Linked DNA regions of Oryctolagus cuniculus. The protein of the gene in region 3 purifies or fractionates together with the protein of the main gene of each other region. This does not show direct contact. Links are inferred from orthologs where the notes say so. Each region holds a gene or a part of one and is shown on either strand. Other genes may lie near its edges.

Evidence for each region.
Region 1: the proteins of FGFR1OP2 (region 3) and SLMAP purify together in Homo sapiens (affinity purification with mass spectrometry; 3 studies listed by BioGRID and IntAct, with this or other methods). This does not show direct contact. The link is inferred for Oryctolagus cuniculus from reciprocal best matches to the Homo sapiens genes FGFR1OP2 and SLMAP.
Region 2: the proteins of FGFR1OP2 (region 3) and PDCD10 purify together in Homo sapiens (affinity purification with mass spectrometry; 3 studies listed by BioGRID and IntAct, counting the BioPlex papers as one, with this or other methods). This does not show direct contact. The link is inferred for Oryctolagus cuniculus from reciprocal best matches to the Homo sapiens genes FGFR1OP2 and PDCD10.
Region 4: the proteins of FGFR1OP2 (region 3) and STRN purify together in Homo sapiens (affinity purification with mass spectrometry; 4 studies listed by BioGRID and IntAct, with this or other methods). This does not show direct contact. The link is inferred for Oryctolagus cuniculus from reciprocal best matches to the Homo sapiens genes FGFR1OP2 and STRN.
Region 5: the proteins of FGFR1OP2 (region 3) and STRN3 purify together in Homo sapiens (affinity purification with mass spectrometry; 5 studies listed by BioGRID and IntAct, with this or other methods). This does not show direct contact. The link is inferred for Oryctolagus cuniculus from reciprocal best matches to the Homo sapiens genes FGFR1OP2 and STRN3.
Region 6: the proteins of FGFR1OP2 (region 3) and STRIP1 purify together in Homo sapiens (affinity purification with mass spectrometry; 3 studies listed by BioGRID and IntAct, with this or other methods). This does not show direct contact. The link is inferred for Oryctolagus cuniculus from reciprocal best matches to the Homo sapiens genes FGFR1OP2 and STRIP1.
Region 7: the proteins of FGFR1OP2 (region 3) and MOB-like protein phocein purify together in Homo sapiens (affinity purification with mass spectrometry; 3 studies listed by BioGRID and IntAct, with this or other methods). This does not show direct contact. The link is inferred for Oryctolagus cuniculus from reciprocal best matches to the Homo sapiens genes FGFR1OP2 and MOB4.

What each region holds. Positions count from the first base shown.
Region 1 is NC_091441.1:92,027,418-92,030,917, reverse strand, and holds part of SLMAP (sarcolemmal membrane-associated protein), read left to right. Parts: intron 1-182; coding exon 183-354; intron 355-3,500. UniProt on the Homo sapiens protein: Associates with the striatin-interacting phosphatase and kinase (STRIPAK) core complex, forming the extended (SIKE1:SLMAP)STRIPAK complex.
Region 2 is NC_091435.1:112,788,378-112,792,437, reverse strand, and holds the start of PDCD10 (programmed cell death protein 10), read right to left. Parts: upstream 2,801-4,060; 5' UTR 2,621-2,800; intron 2,410-2,620; exon of another isoform or gene 1,851-2,409; intron 1-1,850. UniProt on the Homo sapiens protein: Promotes cell proliferation. Modulates apoptotic pathways. Increases mitogen-activated protein kinase activity and STK26 activity. Important for cell migration, and for normal structure and assembly of the Golgi complex.
Region 3 is NC_091440.1:124,188,674-124,192,173, reverse strand, and holds part of FGFR1OP2 (FGFR1 oncogene partner 2), read right to left. Parts: intron 2,142-3,500; coding exon 2,028-2,141; intron 1-2,027. UniProt on the Homo sapiens protein: May be involved in wound healing pathway.
Region 4 is NC_091433.1:165,985,547-165,989,046, reverse strand, and holds part of STRN (striatin), read right to left. Parts: intron 2,029-3,500; coding exon 1,921-2,028; intron 797-1,920; coding exon 710-796; intron 620-709; coding exon 450-619; 3' UTR 1-449. UniProt on the Homo sapiens protein: Calmodulin-binding scaffolding protein which is the center of the striatin-interacting phosphatase and kinase (STRIPAK) complexes.
Region 5 is NC_091443.1:44,426,408-44,429,907, reverse strand, and holds part of STRN3 (striatin-3), read right to left. Parts: intron 292-3,500; coding exon 124-291; intron 1-123. UniProt on the Homo sapiens protein: Calmodulin-binding scaffolding protein which is the center of the striatin-interacting phosphatase and kinase (STRIPAK) complexes.
Region 6 is NC_091438.1:60,282,506-60,286,005, forward strand, and holds part of STRIP1 (striatin-interacting protein 1), read right to left. Parts: intron 3,070-3,500; coding exon 2,963-3,069; intron 2,855-2,962; coding exon 2,727-2,854; intron 1,285-2,726; coding exon 1,102-1,284; intron 807-1,101; coding exon 589-806; intron 1-588. UniProt on the Homo sapiens protein: Plays a role in the regulation of cell morphology and cytoskeletal organization. Required in the cortical actin filament dynamics and cell shape. Part of the striatin-interacting phosphatase and kinase (STRIPAK) complexes.
Region 7 is NC_091440.1:69,971,548-69,975,486, forward strand, and holds MOB-like protein phocein, read right to left. Parts: upstream 2,801-3,939; 5' UTR 2,791-2,800; coding exon 2,113-2,790; 3' UTR 218-2,112; downstream 1-217.

The DNA.
Region 1 (3,500 bases), on a different chromosome or scaffold from region 3:
ACTTAAAACTTTATTCAGTGCTTTAATGCTTTTTACATGTTCAAAATATCTCATTCTTTCTTCTACTTTTCTTTCATTCACTGGAATCCATTCTGTCCTCCTAGTAAGATGTGTAAGGAATTGGACTTCCTTCTGTGTCCAGTTTCTATCTGTGATTAATTATCTTGATATTTTTGTTGCAGTTCTCAGAAGCAGAGTTTAGAGCTTACCAGTGATCTCAGCATCCTTCAGATGACTAGGAAAGAGCTTGAGAACCAAATGGGATCCTTGAAAGAACAGCATCTTCGTGATTCAGCTGATTTAAAAATTCTTCTCAGTAAGGCTGAAAACCAAGCAAAGGATGTACAAAAAGAGGTAAAGCGAAAAGACATTGTGAGTCCAATTATGGTTGGACCTAAAGCCAAAAGCAAATCAGATATCCATGCTAGTTAGAAATATAGGGAAGCAGAAGTCACATTACCTGTCATAAAGTTGATATTTGGAGCATTCTGTCTGGTGATTTCTAACTGTGTAACATGGTCCATATTATGCAGTATTCATCAGTGGTGTTTGGTTTCAAAAATACAAATATGCAAAATTATACTTTTTCTCCAGCAGTTAGTTGACCTATATGAGAAGTCCTTTGTACCAGATCTTGATCTATTATCTTTGAAAGAGAATGTGTTATTTAACTTAGAATACTTTTGGGAAGCAAAATAGAGCCATGCTGTAAGGCTGTATGAACCCTTCAGGTGAAAATGACCTGAAAAGTTACTTAAAATTTACTTCACAGCCAGCCAGCCAAACACATGTTCTGTAGCCTTTTACTTTTCTTCCCCCATACCCTTTCTCCTTCACAAATATGCATGTTCACTTTCATGTCATTTTGCTTAAAACCTGGAGGTGGCAGCTATTTAAATAATGATGTTAAAAATGGTAAGAGTCGACTTTAAAGCAGAGACCCTCCCGACTTCTCCTAACCAAGACAGGTACCATTTACTTCCCTAAGCTTTGGAATTGACTGCAAGGCAGTAAGAGCTGTGTTCAGTAAATGCTGGCCTCATACCACTCTCCGCATCTACATCTGACTGGCATGGGGATGGAAGAGGCTGCTAAAGCTTGATCTACAGATCAAGGGCCACTCTAGTAGCTGACTCTCTTAAATAAAGGGCTCTTTATCAGTTGGAAAGGATCTGAAGACAACACTTTTTTTTAAAAAATGAATTTTCCCAAAATTATTTCTAGAAGATTTGTTTTATCAATGCAGTTTTTCTTTGCCCTCTCCTTTCCTTGTAGTATCCTGAACTTGGAAATGATTGTTGTTCTTCTGTCATCATGTTTGTTCCTAAAGAAAAAAACTGTAACATTTTTTATTTTCATCTGGACATATTGGTTTTGTAATATGTTCATTTTTGCCTTGCTAAGGATATGTGTTTTAGGAGAAATCTCATTTTATTTGGTTGGAACACAAATTGTGTGCCAAAGTAAATATTCTGGTATTTAATACTGTAAGCACTTTGTGTCCTTCCAGTCCATAAGCCATAATTCTTTCAAAATCTGGGAAGACTGATATGGTTGGAAGGAGAATCTGTTGTATGTTACTGTGAATGCATTAGCCATTTTGTTGCATTATTTGTTTGCCTGCTTTTAGTCACTGAGCAATCAGTGCAAAATGCTTTAACTGTTTCCACAAATGGCAGTGGCATGTTGTCACAGCATCTAAATTGTTGATAGTATTTCGATTGCATTAAATGCAGCACATTTAAAAATATGTCTGATTTTGTCAATATGTTTCTTTTCAATGTTCTTGTTCACTGTTTTCCATTGTAAAATGATGTATAGTTAGTCATGCTTTTGTAAAGATGTGAAATTGCTCTTTCCGTTTGTCCTGTTGTCAACATATTTGATACTAGTCTGTAACTAAAATATCTTTTAATGAGGTTCTTATCACTGTATAATCTGCTGCAAATGAGTGATTACCTTTCATTAACACACACTTATTCTTTTCAACGTTTCCCCTTTTACTCCCTTCTCTCATAGAATCATATTTAATATGCAGTGTCATGATTGTGTATCTTCTGCACTTTAACAGGCTAACCTATCACAAGATAAGCAAGCTCAAATATGGTTATTTTTATAAAAATGAACCAAAGATTTTGATCATATTGTGTGATAGTTCCTTCTTAATCAGGGCTGAGCTTGTTTTTCACCTCAGGAAGCAAAATGGAACGAAAATGACATCCAAGCAAGATGTGAAATTAAAGCTGCATAATTAAATAATTAAATTTTATATATGTGTTGCAGCTTTCAGATAAGCTCTTAAAGAAAAAGTACATGAGAAAAGTAAATTTTAATTTTCAATATTAAGAGAAAATAATGATGTATCACCTTTATATTTGACTTTAGAAAGCATCTATAGGTTTTTTTTTTTTTTTTTTAATTTATTTATTTCAGATGTAGAGTTACAGACAGAGAGAGAAAGATCTTCCATCCACTGGTTCACTCCCTAAATGGCCACGACAGCTGGAGCTGAGCCGATCTGAAGCCAGGAGCCAGGAGCTTTCTCTGGGTCTCCCACATGAGTGCAGGGGCCCAAGCAATTGGGCCATCTTCCGCTGCTTTCCCAGGCCATCAGAGGGGAGCTGAATCAGAAGAGAAGCAGCTGGGACACAAACCAGCACCCACATGGGATGCTGGCGCTGTGGGTGGAGACTTAGCTTACCATGTCACAGTGCTAGCCCCCTATATATTTTAATTTAGTAGGAATACCCAAAATTTAAGAATTCATAAAATGTTGAGCACATAAGCTCACCCTGCAAAAACTGATTGAAAAAAGTTGTTTGGCTTCACCATCTTCCTGTGGGGCCAGAGTCTTTTCCATCCACCCACTTGCTGGAAGTAAGCAGCAGGATCTTCCTGTCTGAGCTGTCTTCCTCTGGTTCAGCTTCAGAAGTCCTGGAATGGAGAAATGATTAAATGCTTTAATGTAAAGGGCAGGCTGGATGTAAGAATGGTGGAAAAGGAAAGCAAGGGAAAATTTTGATGAACAAAGAACTTTTTACATCTTCTTTTTAGTTATTGTTAAGAGTCAAATTATATCATGGATCGTTGAGAATTGATTATAGTTTAAGGTGTAGAAACTAGGCTAAGTACAGTGACTTTGCCATGGCAGCTGGCTAGTAACCTTCTGCTTCCTGGAAGGAAATCCACAGACCTTCAAATCAACTGGAAAAAAACTGTCATAAAGCCCATGAGTCTTATTCTTTAGTTCATTCTTCAGTATTCTACCTAGGTTTGTTTTGGAAACATTGTTAGGTAGCAGTTTCTGTCATTTTTTATCTCTTCTCTACTCATACATTTCTTCTCCCCTTATAGTAACCTATGTGTTAACCCTAACCACCTCCTCTTGCCTCCTTCTTTCCTGTCTAATGTTTTTATACATTTTCATCCTTCTCAATATTAATCTTATTTTCATAAAGATTTATTTTATTTATTTGAAAGACAAAGTTAAAGAGCGAGGT
Region 2 (4,060 bases), on a different chromosome or scaffold from region 3:
GTACTCAAGCATGTGGCCGGAAGATGATAAATGTAAGAGAAACATTCCAATGACATTCCAGCAGAGGTGAAATATCAAAACTGAAATGAATCTCAGAGATAAAGAAAAATTCATGGTAAACTGAACCAAGAACAAAAACTGATATATGCTGAACAAGTAGATTATATTAACTTCACTTATTTCCAAAATTTCTCTAGTTCAAAAACTCTTTTCATAACCACACAGCTGCATGCCAAAAGTCAGAACTCATTTCACACCGTGCCCAACAAAAGCAAATATTTACACTGCCATCTAGAAAATGTATTAACATTCTTGCTTACCACCACTTACTAATGCATCTATGGTCTACTTAAACTACTTCACCTTTCTAATTTGACACAAAGCCAGTTAACTCCACACAATTTTCCACCTGTTTGGTTGACTCTTCCTTACAGGTGCACTATTTTGCTTATGGTGCTTATTATTCTCGATTTCACTTGATTCTATACTATCATACCTCTCCTTCCATTTTAAAGTTGTATCAATTTCCAGACCATCTTAACTTCCATAATATGGGAATATGATACATTTGATCCTAGAAAATACTGCTGCATTTAAAAATTACACACATTTAATATTAATATTTATAGTGTGTTCAAAATACAATGTATTTCAATGGTCAACTTAGATAACAATAAACCATGACAGATGATTGCCAACTGCAAATAGATTATTTATGAATATAAACTTAATGTGAAAAAATCCTGACATCAATGAACATATTCCCACATTTCTATTAAAAAAAAAAAACTATTCAGTATTAATACTGAGGAGCTGTCCTGGGTCGTAACAATTACAGGAGATAAGACTGGGAGAGGTGCATTAGTTTCTACTCCATATGAAATGTGTCCTGCTTTTCCATTCTTTAATACAAACTAAGAATGAATTAAAAGTCACAGATAGGGGCTGGCACTGTAGCGCTGCAGATTAAAGCCCTGGCCTGAAGCGCCAGCAGCCCATACGGGTGCCAGTTCTGGTTCCAGCTGCTCCACTTCTAATCCAGCTCTCTGCTATGGCCTGGGATAGCAGTAGAAGATGGCCCAAGTCCTTGGGCCCCTACACCCACGTGGGAGACCTGAAGGAAGCTCCTGGCTTCAGATCAGCACAGCTCCAGCGGTTGTGGCCATCTGGGGAGTGAACTGTTGGATGGAAGACCTCTCTCTCTGTCTCTACCTCTCTGTGTAATTCTTTCAAATAAATAAAAATAAATCTTTAAAAAAATTTAAAAAGTCACAGATGATGCTGAGAAAATTAAAATATGTAAGAGCCTCATTCTTTTATTTACACACACACACAGAATCAAAGAGGGGAGAAGCAAATGAATCACAAAAATATGTTACCTCCAAGAAATGCAATGTTATCTTCTTTTCTAGTAATGAGCACACTAAACTCTCCTTAATGTTGCATTATTTGAAACAAAAAAAAAGTGCACAGTAAGTTTTGTTAAAGAATTCCATCCCCACTGTTCTCAGTTTTACAACATGAGAGTGGAAAAACCACCTAAGGCAGGAAGGGAAAGGAATATATCCTTTTCACAGTAAGGATGGAATACACTGTTTAAATGACTTTCTCCTATTTCACTATCTACTTTTAAAAATGGACTGTGGGAGAAGTCGATCGTTAATATAGCCCCAATAAAGGACAAAATACGTAACTGATACTGATCCTTTTTATTTTTCAAAAAGGTCAGAGAAAGTGCTTCAGTGAGGAATTTCACCCCAGTTTAGAAAAAAAAAAAAGAGAGAGAGAGAGAGAGGGAAAAAAAAGTCACCCTTCAATCACTCATAGCTTCTTAGAAATCCATAAAATACCATTACTGTGTCACTTCCTCCACCTTCCTCAAGAAACACGGCCCGTCTCCGCACTTTGTGACTCCGCCGGCATCTCTGTCCTGTTCAGGACCAAGTCCCTGCCTGTGTGACCTTGGGCACGTCATTTACTCCCTCAATTTCTTCAACAGCATCCTGACGGGAAAGCTCTTCGAAAGCAGTTCCAGCCGTAAACAAACCTATCTTGGGTATCACACCCTCAACAGGGTCGAGCGGTTCTGCTCAGGGACCCCATCTCAAAACACTCAGAATCCGCCGATCTGTCAACATCTGACTCTTCCTACTCCGTTCTCCTTTTCCTTCAAAGGGCATAACCCCAGTCACCCCGGAGCGAAGACTTCCAAGCAACCCCTCCTTCCCCAGCCACACTTACGAAGCAAGGGGGAAACAGCAGCCTTACCTCTCCCGCCCCAAGCCACACCTTCGGAGGACCCCACCCCAGGCACATCCGCCCTCTCTCCTCTCGGGGGGAACCAGAGGCCAACCTCGCCCTTCCCCTCCGCCCCCACCTAGAGCACACTTCCTGGAGGCGTCCAGGCCCGAGCGGGGCGGGCAGGCGGCATTTACAAACCCGCTTTACGCCACTCGCGTAGGGTAACCTCGCTTACGCCCATAGGGCCCCGCTCCCAGCCCCGTCCGCTCCGCCAGCCAGTACCAAGCCCGAGTGCCTCAGCCCCGGCCCCTGTGTGACCCCAGACCTCTTCCACCGCGCGCGGAGACACGGGGATAGGGGCAGAACACCCGCACCTTACCGGCAACTGAGGCACTGACTTCACTTCCCACCTTTGGAGCCCTCTTCAACTCCCGGATCAATTCACTCCGGCGACGCCGGAAGGACCCGAGAGGAACCAGGCGTTGTCCGGAATCCTGCCCAGCCGGAGAGGCGCAGTGGCCTATGGGGACTCGTAGTCTCGCTCGCCGGCGTCGTCTGCAATTCCTGCGCTCCTAGGACTACACTTCCCGGCAGGCCATACGGCAGAGCCTAAGGCGATGGGTGGGGACACTCGTAGCCAATAGTAGGAGAGTTCCCGGCCTTTGCGGGAGGAGGTGAGAGGGAGAGAGAGGGTGCAAGGCTAGGGGAGGAAGGGCGGGGCCGGCTCTCACCTGCGCCAATCAGGGTGCAGGGTCGGCCCCGTAGGCGCCTCACCCAAGGAGGGGGCGGGCTGCCGGAGGAGAAGACGGAAGCGGGTGGGGGGGCCCGAGGTAGGGAACGTGGGGCCGGTGGAATGGGTCTGCAGCGCGGGCAGAGAGGGAGCCTGGAGTGCAGGGAGTGCGGGGACGCTCCGCGGCCGGGATAAGCAGCTCCGCCAAGCCCCAGACCCGCAGGTTGGGGAGCGATGGGCTGAGCCTGGGCTACCTGCGGAGGCGCCAGGGCGCGGCAAGGGAACAAGTCCAGGTGTGAGAGCGGGGAGAGGGTGGGAGGAAAGGGGGACCCCCGGTACGAGGGAAGCGGCTGGAGCAGCTTCCAAAGTGCAGGGAGCGGGCAGGGACCCGGGCGGCAGCAGCAGGAACAGCAGGGGGAGGAGCAACAGCTGCCCAGTTCGCCAACTGGAGGAGGGAGAGGCGGAGCTTGGGTCCCGGTGGAAGCCGAAGGCGCAGCCTGGACCGTAGTTTCCCGGGAGAGACCCGAGCAGGAGCGGGAGCTGAGCGGAGTGCAGTCCCTTCGAGCCTCAGCTCCAGCCGTCCGCCGAGGGTGGCAGGTGTGCGGGAGGTAAGCGTGGGCGCGTTTTCCGGGGCGTCCGCACACTGCCCGGGAGGAAGCGTCTTTGCACAGCAGTTGCAGCAGGGCACAGCTCAGACCGTCTGCCTTCGGCTGGAAAAACCGGGGCAAACCCTTTCGGGTGAAAGATGCACATTTTTGGACTTTGAGGAGGAAAAAAAAAAAAAAAAGAAAGAAAGGTCGCTTGACCCTGGGTATAAAGGGTGTGGTTGGTGTTTTTGGTTTGAGTTGCACGATTCAAACTGTTGTGGGAGGTCTCAAGATTGAGGGAACCCCTACTGATTGAGGACCGGGTGGACGGTATTCTGGATCGGTACGTAGCTGATGAAAAGCAAACGTCTCGTCGTTGATACAGAATTACTTCCGAACTGTATCCCTAGAAAATAACTTTGCGTTCTTCTTCAGCGTCTGCGGGTACGTTGGATGCTGAGATTGTCCGCTGCGGACCTGTTATCCAAGGTGGTTGTAATGC
Region 3 (3,500 bases):
TCTTCTTAATTAACCAAAAAAAAAAAAAAATGCAGGTTTTTATTTTAATGGAGAAATCTATACAATGTTAGTACTCAGAAGCCACAATAAAATGCTAATTTATGCTATCCAATACATGCCATTTAATTAAAATCAGATAACTTTTAAAAAGTCACAATTTTGTCCCTTGGTTGCCTCAGTGACAGTGCAAGTGCTCAGGTACCATATGAGGCTATGGCTTCCATGTCGGCAAGCACAGATACAGAAAATGATTCCCATCATTTCAGAAAGTTGTATTGGGCAGCCCTGGATTCAATGATGGTAGCGACACAAGTAGTTACCATATTCGCCAACAGTTAAAAGGATTTAATCCTCCCACTGTAAGGGGAGCACTCTGCTTAAAAGCAAGTAAGTACAGACCAGTGCAGCAGCAAACTGAATAAGGGTAAGGAGTACAAATTTTGAATTCCCATAGTGTTCTCACTTTATGATTTGGTCAGTCCTACAGCACTGTCATAAATTAAAAAACTATATAAAGGGGCCAGCGCCGCGGCTCAATAGCTAATCCTCCGCCTGCAGCACCGGCACTCGGGTTCTAGTCCCGGTCGGGGCATCGGATTCTGTCCCAGTTGCTCCTCTTCCAGTCCAGCTCTCTGCTGTGGCCCGGGAGTGCAGAGGATGGCCCATGTCCTTGGGCCCTGCACCCACATGGGAGACCAGGAGAAACACCTGGCTCCTGGTTTCGGATCAGCATGGTGCGCCAGTCGCAGCGCGCCGGCCACAGCGGCCACTGGGGGATGAACCAACGGAAAAGACCTTTCTCTCTCTCTCTCTCACTAACTGCCTGTCAAAAGCAAAGAAAAACAAAACAAAACAAACAAACAAACAAACAAACAAAAACAACTATATAAGGGGACCAGTGCTGTGGTGTAGCAGGATAAACCACCAATGCCTGCAGTGCCAGCATCCCAGATGGGTGCTGGTTCTAGTACTAGCTGCTACACTTCTGATCCAACTCTCTACTATGGCCTGGGAAAGCAGTAGAAGACAGCCCAAGTCCTTGGGCCCCTGCACCCATGAGGGAGACCTGGAAGAAGCTCCTGGCTCCTGGCTTTAGATGGGCTTAGCTCTGGCTGTTGAAGCCATCTGATCAGTGAACTGGCAGACGGAAGATCTCTCTTTCTCTGCCTCTGCTCTCTGTAACTCTGCCTTTCAAATACTAGGAAGCAAGTCTTTGCCTTTAAGATGGAATAAAACAAGATAATGTTTTCAGGACAGAGGCTCTGCTAACAAGATCACCCCAAGGAAAAACCCAGTATTTAAAACAGAATGGTATTTTCACAAGCCCAGTTAATGGTTCGCTTATAAATTATAAAATGTTAATGGAAGTATCACAGACCTTTAAATGGGCAAAAGAGCAAAGGCCTGTGCTCTGAAAACTGTTCAAGGCAAGAAGTGTCAGCAATGAGATCCTTGAACTATTTGAAAACATTTCACCTCTAACTTTTGTCCAGATTCATTTCTGCTGTACTGAATAAAGACCTGCCACAAGGGAGTTTTAAAAAAGAAAAGCAGAATAGAGGAACAATGGAAAGAGCACTACTATATTTACTCAGAACATCTAAACAAAGGCATGTTTATTTGTGAACTCAAAGGACTACATCTATCAAAAATCTGAATTAAAACATTTCAACTCAATAGCTTGACCAAAATTTTTATAAAATCAAGTCAAAGTCAATGCCAAGAAAATGTCTTCAAGGTCCAGAAAGAGAACGACAGGTTTGTGGCAACAAAAGTTACAAGAGCTATAAAGAGCAAATCAATGAACTGGGCTAAGCGGTCTTTAAAAGCTGCACTTAAATAATTCTCTGTTTGAGAATGGACTTAAAGTTTCTACATGAATAGTACAGCTATCAAAAACACAGCTTTCTGTAGTAGAGTTCATTTCTTCCCTGATCTAATCCAGGAGGAAAACTCCATGTAAAAGAACTTTTACATGAACCCCCCCTTCCATCCACACCCAAAGTTGACTGTTTTATTTAGTGTACATTCTGATTTGCTTCCCAGCGCCTCCTCTCCAGTCCATGTTGAGGTGCTTCAAGGATGTGTCGAGATGCATCAAGGAAGAATCCTTCGGAGCTGTTACGATGTACCATGTCAATCTGTAGTACAGAGTCATTATAATGTTAATACGGACATTATCCGTAATTTAAAAACTGAATGAGTGTTAGTTCATGCGTGTTAGCCAACTGTTTGAAATGTTTGTTTTTTTAAGATTTCCAAAAAGGCTTCTGTTCAAAAATAATGTAAAAAAATGAGTATCTGGATGTAAATCAGTTTTCAAACTTTCTACTGGGTTTTAAATGTGTGCTCAAAGACACCTGGTGTCATAAAATCTATATAACAACAGTCTCAAAAGGGTCTTTACCCCTGAATGTGCTATAAAATCTTTTTTTATTTAGGCATATCAGAGCATTAGTGCCTAAACACACTAGAATTCCATTCTTTTGCAGCTTATCATACAAGTTTCTCTGCTCACCCACTTCTGCCTGTTGACTACTCTGTTAACTCAGGGTTGGATTCAGATGGATTTTTTTTTTCTTTCATTGGACACCTTTCCAGAGTCTCCTTGTGGGAACTACTCCTTCTCTCTCCAGCACTAACAATCCCTATCTCTAATTTAGGGTTCACCAGACCCTCCCCTGTACTGGCTATGACTGTGTCTGTACCTCCTACTGCACTGCAAGCTCACATGGTAATGTAACTTCATCATTCACTCATCTTATTGTTACCTATAATAATTAACCCAATGCAAGTGTTAATACTTTTTTTAATTGAGCCACAAGTGTCTCCTTTTTGGGAAAAATCAAAATCACAAACATTAATATGTATTAGTTAGAATTAATAACAAGAAACTGAATAGTCATTCTATGGAAGGCAAGGATCAGCACTTAAATGAAGAATTCATTCTACCTAATGAAAACAGATAGTTTATAGCTACTCAAGAAATGGTTAACTTTGCTAATTAATAAACCAGCTCTGGTGAATGGTAAAAATCTCATGTGCTTTAGAAAACACTTGCTTCTGTCACAGCTGCTACCAGATGAGACCAGCAAGCCACAGAATCTTATTTCATACATTTTCTGTCACAGTATTCTTCACCCTAAGTCTTCAAATTTTTAATTTTTTAGATTAAAGAACATAAGGGCCTTTGGAAATTTCTCAAGATTCCATTTATCTGACAAAAAAATAGGTTTATACTTTAAAATAGAACATTCCTGTTTATACTTTAAAAGGATAGTCATATACTTAAATTTAAATGATTTTATGATAGTTTCATTAACAATGAATACATTTTATAGTCTACAGATTATCAGTTAAATATTCAAGGATTTCTATTTGGTTAGGAGATGAACAGCATAATTAGATAATATGAAACCAATTTTATTAGTTTATTGTTTTACTAAGTGGTAAATGAAATACCCATTATTAAGTTCCTTAATATGTACAGTTGTCACACA
Region 4 (3,500 bases), on a different chromosome or scaffold from region 3:
ATTACTGTTTTGACTACCTAACATGTTTAATAAGAGTTGTCAGAGGAGAACTAGGTCTAAGTTTCTGCTCTTTCTCTACTCATTCCCAGCCATCAAGCTTTTTAATTATCCATTACAGCACGCTGTATCAATAGGGACAAGCTAAACCTGTGTACGCTAAGGACCTACCTAGCGAATTAGAACCACCTCAGAATTAAAAGGGTCTATTTAGGGGACAATTTGAAACAGTTTTCAGGTTCACAGATTCAGCTGAGCTTGCAGCAACCTGAACAAACTTTAGTTTTAGAAAACTGTATACGAATTGCAAAACTATACTTTAACAAATGTTCTCTGTGCTCCTTCAGCAGAACAAAAGGGCAGGACGAGTTGATTCTTGCCCTGGTCTTCTGTATCTCTTTTGTGCAGTTGATTATTTATAAAGAACTAGATGATGAAAACGATGCTTTGTGTCATACAAAGACTTTAGCCAGCGCATCAGCTCCAGCACTGGCTATATAGCATTTGGATGGATGGAAAGCTACATCATGAATCGATTCTTCAAATTTTTTCCGATGAGCTGTGAACTCTTGAATACACGTCTTACTTTCTAGATTCCATAAACGTATTGAACAGTCATGACCTATACCAAATGAAAAGAAATTGAAAAGGAAAATTACACTTATATAAAGATGATAAGAACAAAGAAACAATCCATAGTTGATGTACTTACTGCCAGACATCAAGTACAGGCCATTAGGATCAACTGCTAAACTTGTAACAGCTTCTAGGTGTGCTACCATCGAGTGAATCAGTTTACCTTTGGAAAAAGAAGATTGTTCCTATTTATTGATGATTTTCCTCATTTGAATATACATTAGCTACCCTGTTTACTTACTGTATCAACAGTTTTTTCCATCAACTAAAACATGTGCCTGTCTCCTACCTTCAGTCACCATAATGAAGAACAAAAGCAGCTTATGGAAGTTACTAATTTCTACACAAACATCCTCTTAAGTCATTCCCACTAATGAGGATTTAGAAACTATTAATCACCTACTTTGCAACCTTTAGCTACAGGCAAATTATATGGGTGGTAGGAATAGAGAGCTTAAATTCACAGAGAAAAAAGAATGAGACAAAGCAACAGAAAGGAAACATGGCCACAATTATAATGTACACAACATACAAAAAGGATGTAAAACATGAAATTACTTATCCATAGCAGTTAAGCAAAGCCAGCACAAGTTAACATATTAACAAAGACAATAACAGGTAACTCAGATAAATATGGCTGCAAACACAAAGATGCTTTCCTCTGCACAGCTCTTCATGAATTCCTTTTAGACTGGTGAAATGTAACCCAACAAAAATTGTGAAAGCCCCTCATGCTCCAATTCAAATCAATCAGGACCAAACAGTCAGTATTATAACACAGAGAAGATTAGTCCATGGAAAAGAAAACCAAATGACCTGTAAGTTTTCCATCTGCAACACAGAATATGGCTAGTTTTTAACTGAATAACTCAATACTGAATAATACTATACAATAATTTATTACCATGTATAATGATCATACCCTTTACTTCCAATGTTTCTATTTTCCCCCAACATATTGCAATAAATCATAGCAACAGATCACTTTAATCTGCATTTGAATGAATTTTTCATTGTGCTCCTAGTGATAACATTGGCTCCAGGACCTAAATATAGCATCTACTCACTATTAAACAAAAAGGATCCAAATATCGTTTAGAATGAAAACTAGCCTTAGCAGATTTGGGTGGCATGATGAGAAACTGAGACAAGGAACTGCCTGTGTCTGGTATCTATTCTTTGATTATCATGCCACTAAAACAGACACCAAAAGTACTCAACTTTTTTGTAGGGTTTCTTTCTTCTTTTGCTTGAACAAAAACCACTACTTAATAAATAAATTCGTACCTGTATTGTTATCATAGAATTTGATGTGCCTATCTTCATGAGCAGTGATGCTGATTGGCAGAGTGGGATGACTGATGACTCTATTTATTTGGCAGGAAGAGTTGATTGCTAAGAAGAAAAAGAGCAACACAAATTAGTTATGGCTATTTTTTTTTCACATAAAGGAAAACTGAAATTCATCTAAGGGACTAAAAAAGTAAGTGAGATGATTTTAATTTGTCTTTAGTTCATTTATTCTGCAACTGTTTCCACAATTTCAATTTCAGGAAATGAGAATTGCTTGAAGTACACTACATTGATAAATTTGGAGGTAGTGAAGAATCAGAATTTCTTTTTCTACCATTTACTATCTATGACTACTATCTATGGCTGCCACCTAAGGTTTAGCAGAGTCCCTGATATTTATCATTTTACAATATTCTGTATTTTTTTGTTAAGTTTCACTATCACTTACATGTAGATAATCTTCAAATTTAAAGTTCAACTCTTTTTACCTAGAAAGTTCTTTACTACAGTGTTATCATCTTTAAATTAACATAACAAGGAGAGGTTCTTAATCCTCTTCATAACAACAGCCATCACTGGCTGATAACCTGAAAGGCAGAGAGAGAGAGAGAGAGAGAGAGAGAGAGAGAGACATCTATTTATATCTATCTATCTATATGTATCTATCTATCTATATACATAGATATATACATACAGATAGATCTATCTATAGATAGATAGATATATACATATAGATAGATAGATAGATCTATAGATAGAGAGAGTGTGTCACAGAGGCATCTCAATGTGTTAGCTCACTCTCCAAATGCTGGCAACAACTAGGGCTGGGCCAAGATGAGGCCAGGAGCCATGAACTCAATCTGGGTGTCCAAAACCGGAGGCAGGAAGCCAACTAGGAGTCAACAAGCTACATATTAGCAGGATGCTGGAATCAGAAATGGAACCAGGACTCCCACATGAGATGTGGGTGTACCAAGCAGTAATTGCTGTGCCAAAATCCACTCCAATACTTTTAAGGAAGTTTTTCCATTTGACGGTAAATCAGATAAAGTTGGCAAAATGCAAAGAATACTAAAATGAGTTGAAGCCATAACAGCTATTGTAACAATCTGAAACAATCCTCTAAATACCACAGTTAGCCTGTGACTTAGAAATGTTAATCTTTACACTGGGTTCACAGGTATTCAAAATCTACTTCAACTACCATTGACTTATCAAAGTAAAATAACTATTGATATCAAAAAGAAGAAACAATTTATTCTAACAACAAACATCTTTCATTATTTCCAATTCTATATGAAATTCACTTTCACCTTGAAGCATGTTTGGTTTGAACTTCAATTTAAAATTCTTCTAATATTTATTTACTTATTTGAAAGAGGAAAGGGAGAGCCAGAGGAGACCTTCCATCCGCTGGTTCTCTCATTAAATAGCCTCAACAGCTGAAGCTGGGCCAGGCCAAAGCCAGGACCCAGGAACTCCATCCAGATCTCCCACTAGGTGGCAGGGGCTCAAGTTCTTGGGTCATCTGCCACTGCTTTCCCAGGCGCACCAACAGGGAGCTGGATCAGAAA
Region 5 (3,500 bases), on a different chromosome or scaffold from region 3:
AAAGCACTATGGTGTATTTATGATGTCATACAATAAATGACTAGGAATAGCAAAGAAATAAAATCAATTGTTTTTCCTTTTTATCCTCCATAAGTTTTTCTCATACATGTAAATTTTACTCACCCTTGTCTCCATTGTAAGTGCAAATACATGGCAATTTTTCTTGTGGATTCCATAACCTAACAGTGCCATCTGCTGAACAAGATAGTAACTGATTTTTTATGCCACTATAAGCAAGACCCCAGACTGCATCTGAATGAGCAACTAAAGTGCCAGCTAGGACATTTGGCTCTGGGAAGAAACAAACAAATAAAATATTAGTTACAATAAGTGAAAAATAATGTTTTTGTTTATAAAGATAACTCACCATATAATTAAATACATAAGAAGATAAAACAAAATAAACATAGGGGCTACTTCTAGGCAGTGGAGTTATAAGTTATTTTTTTATCTCTTCCCCTCACCAATACTTTTCTGTATTTTCACAATTTTCTATAAGGAACAAATACTTAAAAAAACTTCTGTAATATAACTTACATACCATCCCACTCACTCATTTAAAGGGTATGATTCAATTTTTTTAGTGTGGTCACAGATCTGTGCAACCACCACAACAATCAATTTTAAGACACTTTCATCATTGATTAGCCTAGTCCTCTTCCCCACCATTCTGCAGCACTAAGCAACCACTAATCTATTCTCTTTCTATAGATAGGCCTATTCTGGTCATTTTATATAAACACAATCACACAGTATGTGTAGGGTCTTTTGTGATTGGCTTCTTCCACTCAGCATAACATTTTCCACGTTCATCCATGTTTTAGCATATGCGGTACTCAAATTCTTTTTATCATCAAATAATATTTCATTGTACAGATATTACCAAATTTATTTATCTATCCATCAATTGAGACATATGACAATTGAGACAATTCTGCTTTTCTAGTGAACTCCTACTTTCCAGGAATATTTATCTCCACAATCCTCAGTTCCCAACTTAATTTCCTCATTTCTTGCCACTTTATCTGTAATCTACTCTGCTTTCTTTCACATATAAGCAAGGAATTGTTCTTCCTAACAAAGGCTAATTCTACCAGGTACACTGAACTCACCAACTTGCTTTCAATGTTTACTATCTATTACACAAATTTTCCTCCCTGGAATCACTATCATGGGTACAGGAATCACCACCATGGTGGTGGTGGGGAGGGGTGGCGGGGCACAGTTTGAGAATCATTCAGCTCAAACTAGAAATCTTCATTAACATTTTCTGCTGAATGGCAGAAAAACACATCAAATAAATTCATTTCACCTCCCATTTACTCTTCAAATAATTATAATTTATAGTTTCTGATATGACTGCACCAAAATAACCCTTGCTAAAATCACCAGTAATGCCATCTATGAAATTTAATTAACTTTTTTCTTTGATGATACCAAACATTTGTTGTTGTTCCCAACATACTGCTTTTCACTCATATTATCTGATCTGAAAGATATAAACAGGTCCTTCTGGTCTACCTCAGTATTCTCCAGCTAAAATCAGAAGACCTGTTTGTCTTTTGTAAGAAGGAACCTTTTAATCTTCATATTACTGGACCTCAGCAATATCTGAAAATGCACATTGCTTCCTGCTTCCCAAAACAGTATGTTCTTTGCATATGCTTCATGACCTCACACTCTCCATTACCTCCCCCTACTTGTTAAAGTCACACCGTTTCCCTTGTTGGCTCTCTAGCTCTAGCTATCCTACCAATGTCAGTTACCAAGGACTTCAGTCCCAGGTGTCTTCTCTTCCTACCCTACACAGCACACTCTCACTGCATCATTCATTCGCACAGCTCTAAGTATCATCTGTACAGAGACGACATCATATTTTTACCTCCAACCCATTTCTCTTTGAGCTCACATCTGCACATTATCTCTTTAATACTGCCATTGCTTAATATGCCTAAAATATGAACTCAATGACTTACATCTCATCACACTTATTCTCTCTCCATTTCCATAAATGCTACCATCACATACTCAGTTGCTCATGTCAAAAACCCAGCACTGGTGATGAAAATGTTCTGAAATTAGATAGTGGTCATGGCTGCACAGCCCTGTGAACATAGTAAGAACTACTGAATTATGCACTTTTTCAAGTGATTTTTATGGTGTGATTTAAGATAAAAGCTATTAAAATAACACAACTAAGCAAGAGTCGCTCACTGATCACTTTACCTGCACAATACAATTTATCAACAAATCCTGACAATTCTACATTATTTGCCCACTGAACCTTAAATCTACTTCTAACTGTTCTAGCACCACCACTGTCGTCTTGGCAACATCACTAGTTGACTGGACTGTATTATAAGCAACCTCCGAATTGGTTGTTTCCACTCCTCTCATTCCATTATTTTCTTCTCACAAAAGTCAAAGTTGGGGTTGAAAATGGGGCATAGTAGGTAAAGCCACTACCTGCAATACCAGCATCCTGGTTGCTGGTTCAAGTCCTAGCTGGTTCCACTTCCAATCCAGTTCTGTTAATATATCTGGGAAGGCAGCAAAGGATGGCCCAGGTGCATGGGCCCCTGCACCCACGTGAGAGACGCAAAAGAAGCTTTTGGATCCAGGCTTGGCCTGGCCCAGCTCCGGCCATTGCAGCCATTTGGGGAGTGAACCAGCGAATGAAAGATCTCTGTCTTTCCCCTTCTCTCCCTGTAACTCTGCCGTTCAAATAAATCTTTAAAAACCAAACAAAGAGAGTCACAGTCATCCTTTTAACTCTACCTTTTTTTCAGGTCACTTCCTGATTTAAATCCTTGACTGAAAGTTCTCTTTTATCTATTAGATTCTGCTTGTTACTATTTTATTTATTTTTAAGATTATTTACATATTCATTTGAGAAGCAGAGACATCAAGCAAAAGCTCTCATCACTGGTTTACTCTGCAAATGCACATGATGACCAGGGCTGGGCCTAGGCCAAAATCAGGAGCTAGGAACTCAATCCAGGTATCTCACATCAGTGGCAGGTATCCAACTACTGGAGCTATCACTGTTGCCTCCTAGGGTATGTTTAGCAGGAATCTGCAGTCAGGAGCAGAAGCTAGTTACCAAATAGGGGTCACACACCAACAGGAGTCACAGGTGTCTTCATCACTAGGCCAAATGCCTGCCCCAGCTGTTAGTATTCAGGTAAACATCTTCTGACTATTCATCTAAAGAAGGTTCCATCTGTTACTCTCACAATATTCTATGTATCATTTGTAACAATTTGTAACCACAGACTTCTATCCCCCTTATTTGTTTAACCTGTTACCTTTCTCATTAAACTAAATCTTATACCTGATACAGTGCTTCCCACTATGCCTGACAAAATGCAGCAAGTGTATGTTAAGCTAAAAGAACAAGTAGATCATAAACATTTTAACCCTTTATAATTATGGCCAATACCCTTGTAAATATTTGGAGACATAGGCAGGTATTTCTGTGGGAGAGACTTCTAAGGCTG
Region 6 (3,500 bases), on a different chromosome or scaffold from region 3:
ACCCACTGTACCACAGTGCCAACCCTGAGTATTTAACATTTTTCGATAATCAGTGCTACACGCTCCTGATCTTGCACAGGTGTCACGTTTTCCGGTTTTAAGCCATCGGCACACCTGGCAGAAGCTTCTGGATGGCCTCTTTTGCACTCCCTTCACAGGTACTCAGAGCAGAGGCTCTGCCTGGGCCAGGACAGGGGCTCACCTCCCTCCCCTCGCGTGTTCACCTACTTCTCAAGCTACTGCCCACCACCCAGATTCCAGTTTTCTATCTCTAGGTCCTTCCTAGCCATCCATTTTCCCACAGCTACCCTACCTACCTTAGCTATGATCCCTAGGAAAGTCTTCCTTATCCTTCCACTTTTCCATTAAGAGGGCTGGGTGGGGACGGGTTCACGGTAACACCCTGCTTTGCGTTTCCTAACCCCCTTCACTAGTGTGTCGAACCAAGAGCTGACTCAAACTACTGACTCGGGGCCGCACAAGGGCCAGCAAGGCCAGCACAGCTTGGGGTTGCGCACAGGGGCCAGGTGTGAGGGTGTACGGGCTCTGGCTTTAGGACCAGGAGCACTGTGGAGCTCTGACACTCACCTGACCTTGGGGGCCCACGGGAGCCCCTTTGGGCAGGTAAGCCTGTCGGTCTGGGGGTGCTGCAGTGGGGGAGGCATCACCTCATCCCGCTCCAGGGGAAAGGTCTCCCCTTCCAGACTGTTGTCGTCGTCATTTTCCTCCTCGTCTTCCCGGGAGTCGTCGGCCTTGTAGGGGTCCCGCTCGTTGAAGGCATCCAGGTTGTCCTGCTTTATCAGAGCCTACGAACAGAGGCAGACCTGACAGGGGCTGCCCACTGAGCCAGCGTTGGCAGGTGTGGCTGAGAGGGCAGGAGACTGGAAGGCGTTGGGGAGAGAGCAAGAGCGGTGGAAAGGCTGGGACCAAATGGCGATTTCTCGTCTAACGCCTCAACAGTGCTGCAGCCGAGCGCACCCTGTGCAGGGCCAGGGGCCACGGTCAGAGTGCCCCTGCTGAACTGGCATCCTCCACCTGCCCATTGAGGACGCCGGCAGCCCTGCCTCTGTGTGCACCTGCACAGCCCTCTGCCGCCCTCACCTTGTGCTCCCGGCGGCCCCTTTTCTGCTGCTGCTCGATGAGGTCGGAGGCAGACGCTGGCGGCGAGGCGGCCCTCATGTTGCGGATCACCTTGATGCTGTCCTCGGGCAGCGGGGGGAGGCCCAGGAGGGCGCGCTTCTCAGCCTTCATGCTCTGCAGCTCCTCAAAGCCGCCCAGTGTGCACTGCACCAGACAGGGGCGTGCAGCTGGCGTCAGCAGAACCACCGCTGCCCTGGGCACTGCGCCAGGCTCAAAGGCACCCAGTGGAAGGCACTCGGCCTAGTGGTGGGGACGCCGCTTGGGACACATCCCTGCCTCACTGCAGTGCCTGCTTTGAGTCCTAGCTCTGCTCCTAATCCCAGCTCCCTGCTACTGCACACCCTGGGAGGCAGCAGTAACTGAATTAAGTACTTGGGTCCTTGCCACCTATGTGGGAGACTCAGACTGAGTTCCTGGCTCCCAGTTTCTGCCAGGCCCAGCCCTGTGGGGAGTGAACTACCAGACGGGCGCTCTCTGTCTGCCTCTCTGGTAAATAAGCCACCGCAACAGCACTACAACCCACACAACCTCTACACACGGAACCACTGCCAGCCCCGAGGGGATTCAGTGTCCCTAGTCAGCAAGAGGGGAGAGAGAGGAGAGTAAAATGCAGGCTCGCGATACCCCCTCCAAAAACAAAGGGCAGGCTGCGAGGCTCACTCCTCTCGATACTTGTATACGCCAGTGTGTCAGTCAACTGGAAACACGGTGTTGGTTACTCAAATTAAGACTCAACTACGGGCCAGTGTTGTGGCACAGTGGGTTACGCCACTGCCTGTAATGCCAGCAGCCCACACAGGCACCAGTTCAGGTCCTGGGCGCTCCACTTCTGCACCTGGGAAAGCAGAGGAGGACGGCCCACGTGCTTGGGCCCCTGCACCCATGCAGGAGACCTGGATGGAGTTTCTCACTTTGGCCTGGCCCAGCCTCAGCTATTGCGGTTATCTGGGGAGTGGAGTAGCAACAGGAAGATCTCTCTCTCTCTGTCTCTCCCTCTCTCTTTGTAACTCTGTGTTTCAAGTAAATAAACCTTTAAATAATAATAAAAGAAAGCTTCACATCAAAACACCTCCCGATGAGGAGACGCCTCGCATGGCACATATGGCTGCTGAGTTCCACCATCTGAGCCATTCGGTTCCGCTCTGCCTTTAGTAAGGCCTCGAGGGGAACCCACAGGACACGTGGCCAAGAGAAACATGAGATGACTGAGGAGGACCCCATCTTACTGAGCCCTGGCCCCAGTCGGCCTGCTCAGAGGGCAGGGGAGCCGCAGTGACAGCCGCAGCCCCAACTCCAGCTCCCCTTTTTCCCCAGGTTGTCCCCCACGGAGGCTGCACTACGACTGAGACAACAGCTTCTCCGGGGGTTGGGAGCAATAATCTAACCTGACACAAAGACCAAGTCCTCCTGGGCTGCAGGGGCCCAATGCAGCGACTGCTCTGACGTCTCCTTTCAGGCGCTTGCGCAATACTTTTTAACTATAGAGATTATACATTCACATTCAAGCTTCAAAAGGCTACACAGGGGCAGTCCCCCACCCCCGTCCAACCCCTTACTGCCTGAGTTCCTTGCAACCAGGTGCTCACCAATACGGTCTTCCAGAGCAGCAAAAGAACTTTCTTCATCGGGAAATGAGGGGCGTGGCCACTGCAAAATTTGGTCACCATCCCAAACAGCATGATGGCAAATGGCTCATTGTTGTACAGTGGGGAGCCTAGGGGTGACAAAAAGGGATCAGGACGACCGCAGCAGCTCCAAACCTTCCCAAAGCTTCCCAGACTCAGCTCCAGACCGGGCCCGAAGGAGACCCCGAGGGTCCTACCCAGCTCGGCTCTGAAGGTCTGTCGCACGGCCCTCCACTCAGCCTTGTCGCCCTCGCACTCCTGGTGCACGGTCTCCACGATCAGGTACATGATGTTGAGCAGGACCCTGGGGACGAGAGCCAGTTCATAAAGGAGTAGGCTGGGGAATCTAGGGAGCAGCCCTGGCTTCCTTCATCCCAGCTCACGTGGGATAATACAGGGAACACCGAGAACAGAAAGGGGAGAGCTGAGAGGCCCCCGGAGCAAAGGCAGGCTTCACTCTCCCCTCCCGGTGTTTCCGTCACCGTTTCCCGCTGTGCTGGCTGGGGGACCAGAGCTTACTCTGTTTTCTCTCTCCAGCGCCTAACAATGTGCTCACTCAAAGCAGGTGCCTATTCAAAGGCTGCTCAACGAGTGACTTTGAACAAGAATGGCCAAAAGCACTGACTGCCACAGGCTTCCCGGCAAGAGAAAACAAACCCAGAAACGGGAGTGAGCTCTGAGGGTCAACACAGGACAGTCCCGGGGAGAGCAAGGACAGCGTTTACCGTGACAGGG
Region 7 (3,939 bases), about 54 Mb from region 3:
CCCATGGTGCAGATTAGCAGGAAGCCAGATCAGAAGCAGAGTAACTAGGATTCAAAGCAAGCACTCCAGTACTGGATGCTGGCATCCCAAATGGCAACATAACTGCAGCACTAAACACTTGCCCCCTCCACCCTGCCTTTTTTTTTTTTTTTTTTTCTTTTGGAGTTTTTTTTTTTCTTTTATGATCAATTCCAAACACAGTACAGGGAAGATGGAATGAATACGAAAAAATATCATTTTATTTCCCCATTAAACACTAAGTCATATTATTCAAAATGTGTTTCAAAATCCTTAGCCAGATAACCAATTCCAGTCACTATTTTAGTTCTAATGTTCACCAAGAAAATAGTCAAGTAACAGAAAGCCATTATGAGAAACCATCAAGAGAGAAGAGCTACATTGCTATCTATAATTTAACTTAGTAGGTTATTCTCTCAATATTCAGCAAGTTTGCTTAAAAATTACTATTCCATTAGTTTATAGTGACATTAAAAAAAAAAAACGTATAATTTCAAACTCAACATTCCTTTCACCGTGAACATAAAACTTCTAAAAGATAGCTGTGAGTTGGGGTACAATAAGGACTGTGGCTGCTGGGACAGTACTGTTCAAAGCCAAAACGATTGGCAGCCTTGGAAAGGCATAAACTATATACACACACTCTCAGTATGCTACTATTTCTCATATTTTTTTCTTTGCATACTTGTCTCATAATATGGTATAAATAATTTCTTTGAAGACAATCAAGATGAATACATTTTCATCTTCATTTCAAAATAACTATTTTAAATGAAAAATTTTCTCACATTTGTTAAATATGTCTTAGAGATGAGTTTAAGTATTTTCTTCACTACATGTATAATTTTTCTACCCTATCTTAGTGCCTCATTACAATCAATTTGGCAATAAGACCTCTCTAGTACTCCATGAAAAACTGCATTCAATAGATTATAAGATCGTTACATCTGCACCCAAATTCTTATATGCTACAACAAAGTCTAAAAAATGTATGGCCATTCATCAACACCCTTGCATCAATTATTGCAAATAACCTCACATATGTATTTAATTCAAATTTTGTGGAGAAAGGGTACAAAATAAATACTACAATATTTCTTTAACTCTAATGCTGCCTAGAGTAAGATGAAAAGATTAATATTACTGAGAGGAAGAATCAAATGGCTTTAAGGTCTGTCTTCCAAGTAGTTAGAAAATTTTCACAAAACAAAGAGCCTATGCCAACACATCTTTCTTGTAGTGTAATATAATTGCTAATATGAGGTAAATCTGTAAGCAATTAATACAAACATGAGTATAAACAGGTATAAGTCACCACTAAGTCACAGTCTGGTGAAAGACTTCTCAGCTAAAGTATCTGGGGACAGGATTATGGGAAGTGAGAAGGGGGTGAACAGTTTTCCAGTGGGAATACCTTTTATGTGCCTTATCATTAGCATCAACTTATATGTAACAGTCCACTGCTGTAAAAAGGTATATCCTTTCCAAGTATGCTGGCCTAGAATATACTTTATATAGCATAGTAAGATTATATAAGAATTACTAATGCTTCATTTGCATTTATATTTGGATATACACATAATCATAAATGCATATCAAAAACTATAAACAGAATTTTAAAGTACTTTTATCTCATTTTGGAAAAGTTTACAGTTTATGTTCTATAGAATTTTCTATAATATCTAAATTCAGGGACAAAATGAAAGGAAAACATTACTATCTCTTTAGTAAATGGTTTGTGCAAGACCTCAAGCTTACTCATCTTTTTATATATGGGTTTATTTGATGAGGATTGTAATCCAATGATTGTTTAGCAGCAATTTTACCAAACTGTAAATTCTTTTATTAACAGGCATTATAAACAGATAATACTAATCTTATTTAAAAAACCATGAGTGCCACACCGGTGAATATACAGCTTATGAATAACTTAAAAAGTATTTCCCCTTTTAAAAGGCAACACACAGCATACAAAAACCTAATCTAAACAAAGAAGCTATAATATGAATACATGATTGATGTGTCTAAAATGATATATACAGTACATAATGAACGTTAATTATGTGATCAGTACATTTTTCTGTACGATTCCCTTCATGCTTCACTTTCTCCAGAAACTGAATTCTGAACTTCCTCTTCTAAAATTGGTACAATCAGGTTATCCTTGGACATCAAATTGTATTTCATCACAAATTTAGTAAACCGATGACACAAAAAGGTTTCATTTTCATATTCATCAAATATCTGCCGGTGATGAAAATAAGCATGCGAAAATATTCTATAAATCCTACGGCATACTGATCCTAGTTTTGCTACAGATGATTCCTTTATGCTAACCCTGCTAGGAAAATATTTATTGCTATTCAGAAGACATGCAGCACCATCAAGCGTGTGTCTAGTATAGTCTATAGCAGGACACTCTTTTGGAGTTTTATGAGCTGCACACAGAAAAATCCACTGTTCAGTTGCTGTCATTTGAGTACAAGTATCTGGATGGCATTCACTCTGAAGTTTGACAGCAAGTCCATTTAGCTCAAGACAGAATTGCCTTAAATGTTCATACTTCCATACACCTTCATCTTGGCCTTCAGGTGGTTCAAGAATTTTATCAATATTGGAGCAATCTGCTCTTATGTTCTGCTGAATATACTGCTGAACAGCAAGTGTACTGTCCATTTCATCAAAGGATTCATCAGGCCAATTATAGAAATCCTGCGCCTTGGTGCCCGGCCTGTTCCGCCTCAACACTGCCGTCCCCTCCGCCATGACCATAGTGCCAGAATCTCCACCCTGCCTTTTAAGAAAATTTCTATTCATCTGTGAGTTTTTGAACTCCTGTGACCATGCATCACTCTGGACTTATGTTGAGAACTGACCCCAGGGAGGCACGCATGGGTGCAGAGCAACCTGGTAGGAGATATGATGGTGCTTGGCTGCCACAGGAATGCTGTAGTCATACCATTAGAATCTGGATACACACAGAGGAAGTGAGGGAGGGATGCAGGAGGGGAGGGAGAGAGGAAGACAAAAAAGAATCTGGATATTCTTGCTAAGGTAGAGCCACCAGGAGGAATGGTTGCCGAGTGAGAAACAAATGAAAATTATATATATATGTGTGTGTGTGTGTGTGTGTATTATATATATAAAAGTGAGAACAGTAAATGTGTTTTTAAAAATTTTATTTTTTAATTTTGATTTTCAATTAGTTATAAGCAGTCAATGTAACATGTAGATACAATTCTATGAACATAGTGATATTGCCTTCCTCCTTCCCTCCCTTTCCCTCTCTCTCTTGCTCCAAAATCTCTGAAATATCCCAAGAAATCCTAAAGAACACTAGCCTTTGACCATTAGTTCTGATGTTCCCTGTCTTCATGATGCAGTTTATTTTATTTCCTTGAAAAGTAGAGTTGCAGAAAGAGAGAGAGGGAGAGATGGGAGAGAAAGAGATCTCCCATCTACTAGTTCACTCCCCAGATGGGTGCAAGGCTGGTGCTGGGCCAGGCTGAAGTCAAGAGCCAGGAACTCGGTCTCCCTCATGAGTGCAGGGACTCAAGCACTTGGGCCATTCTCCACTGCTTTCCCAGGCACACTAGCAGGGATCTGGGTCAGAAGTGGAGAAGCCAGGACTCCAATCAGTGCCATAATGGGATGCCGGCATTGCACGTGGTGGCTTAACCTGCTATGCCACAACGCCAGCCCCATGATGGCAATTCTTACCAGTGTCCTTGGCCATGGCTGTTAGTACTGGCATGTCAGCTCTTTCTCTCTGGTAATTACATTGGCAGGACTCGGTCTTCCTGTATTTTCTCTTGTGTGAAGCCTGAGACTACCCTTTCAGTGAGCTTCAAAATTTGCATGTTGGCTGCAAAGAGAAAAGCCATTTACTGCTTCCCTGAGAAGTTGGCTGGCTTTTTGCAA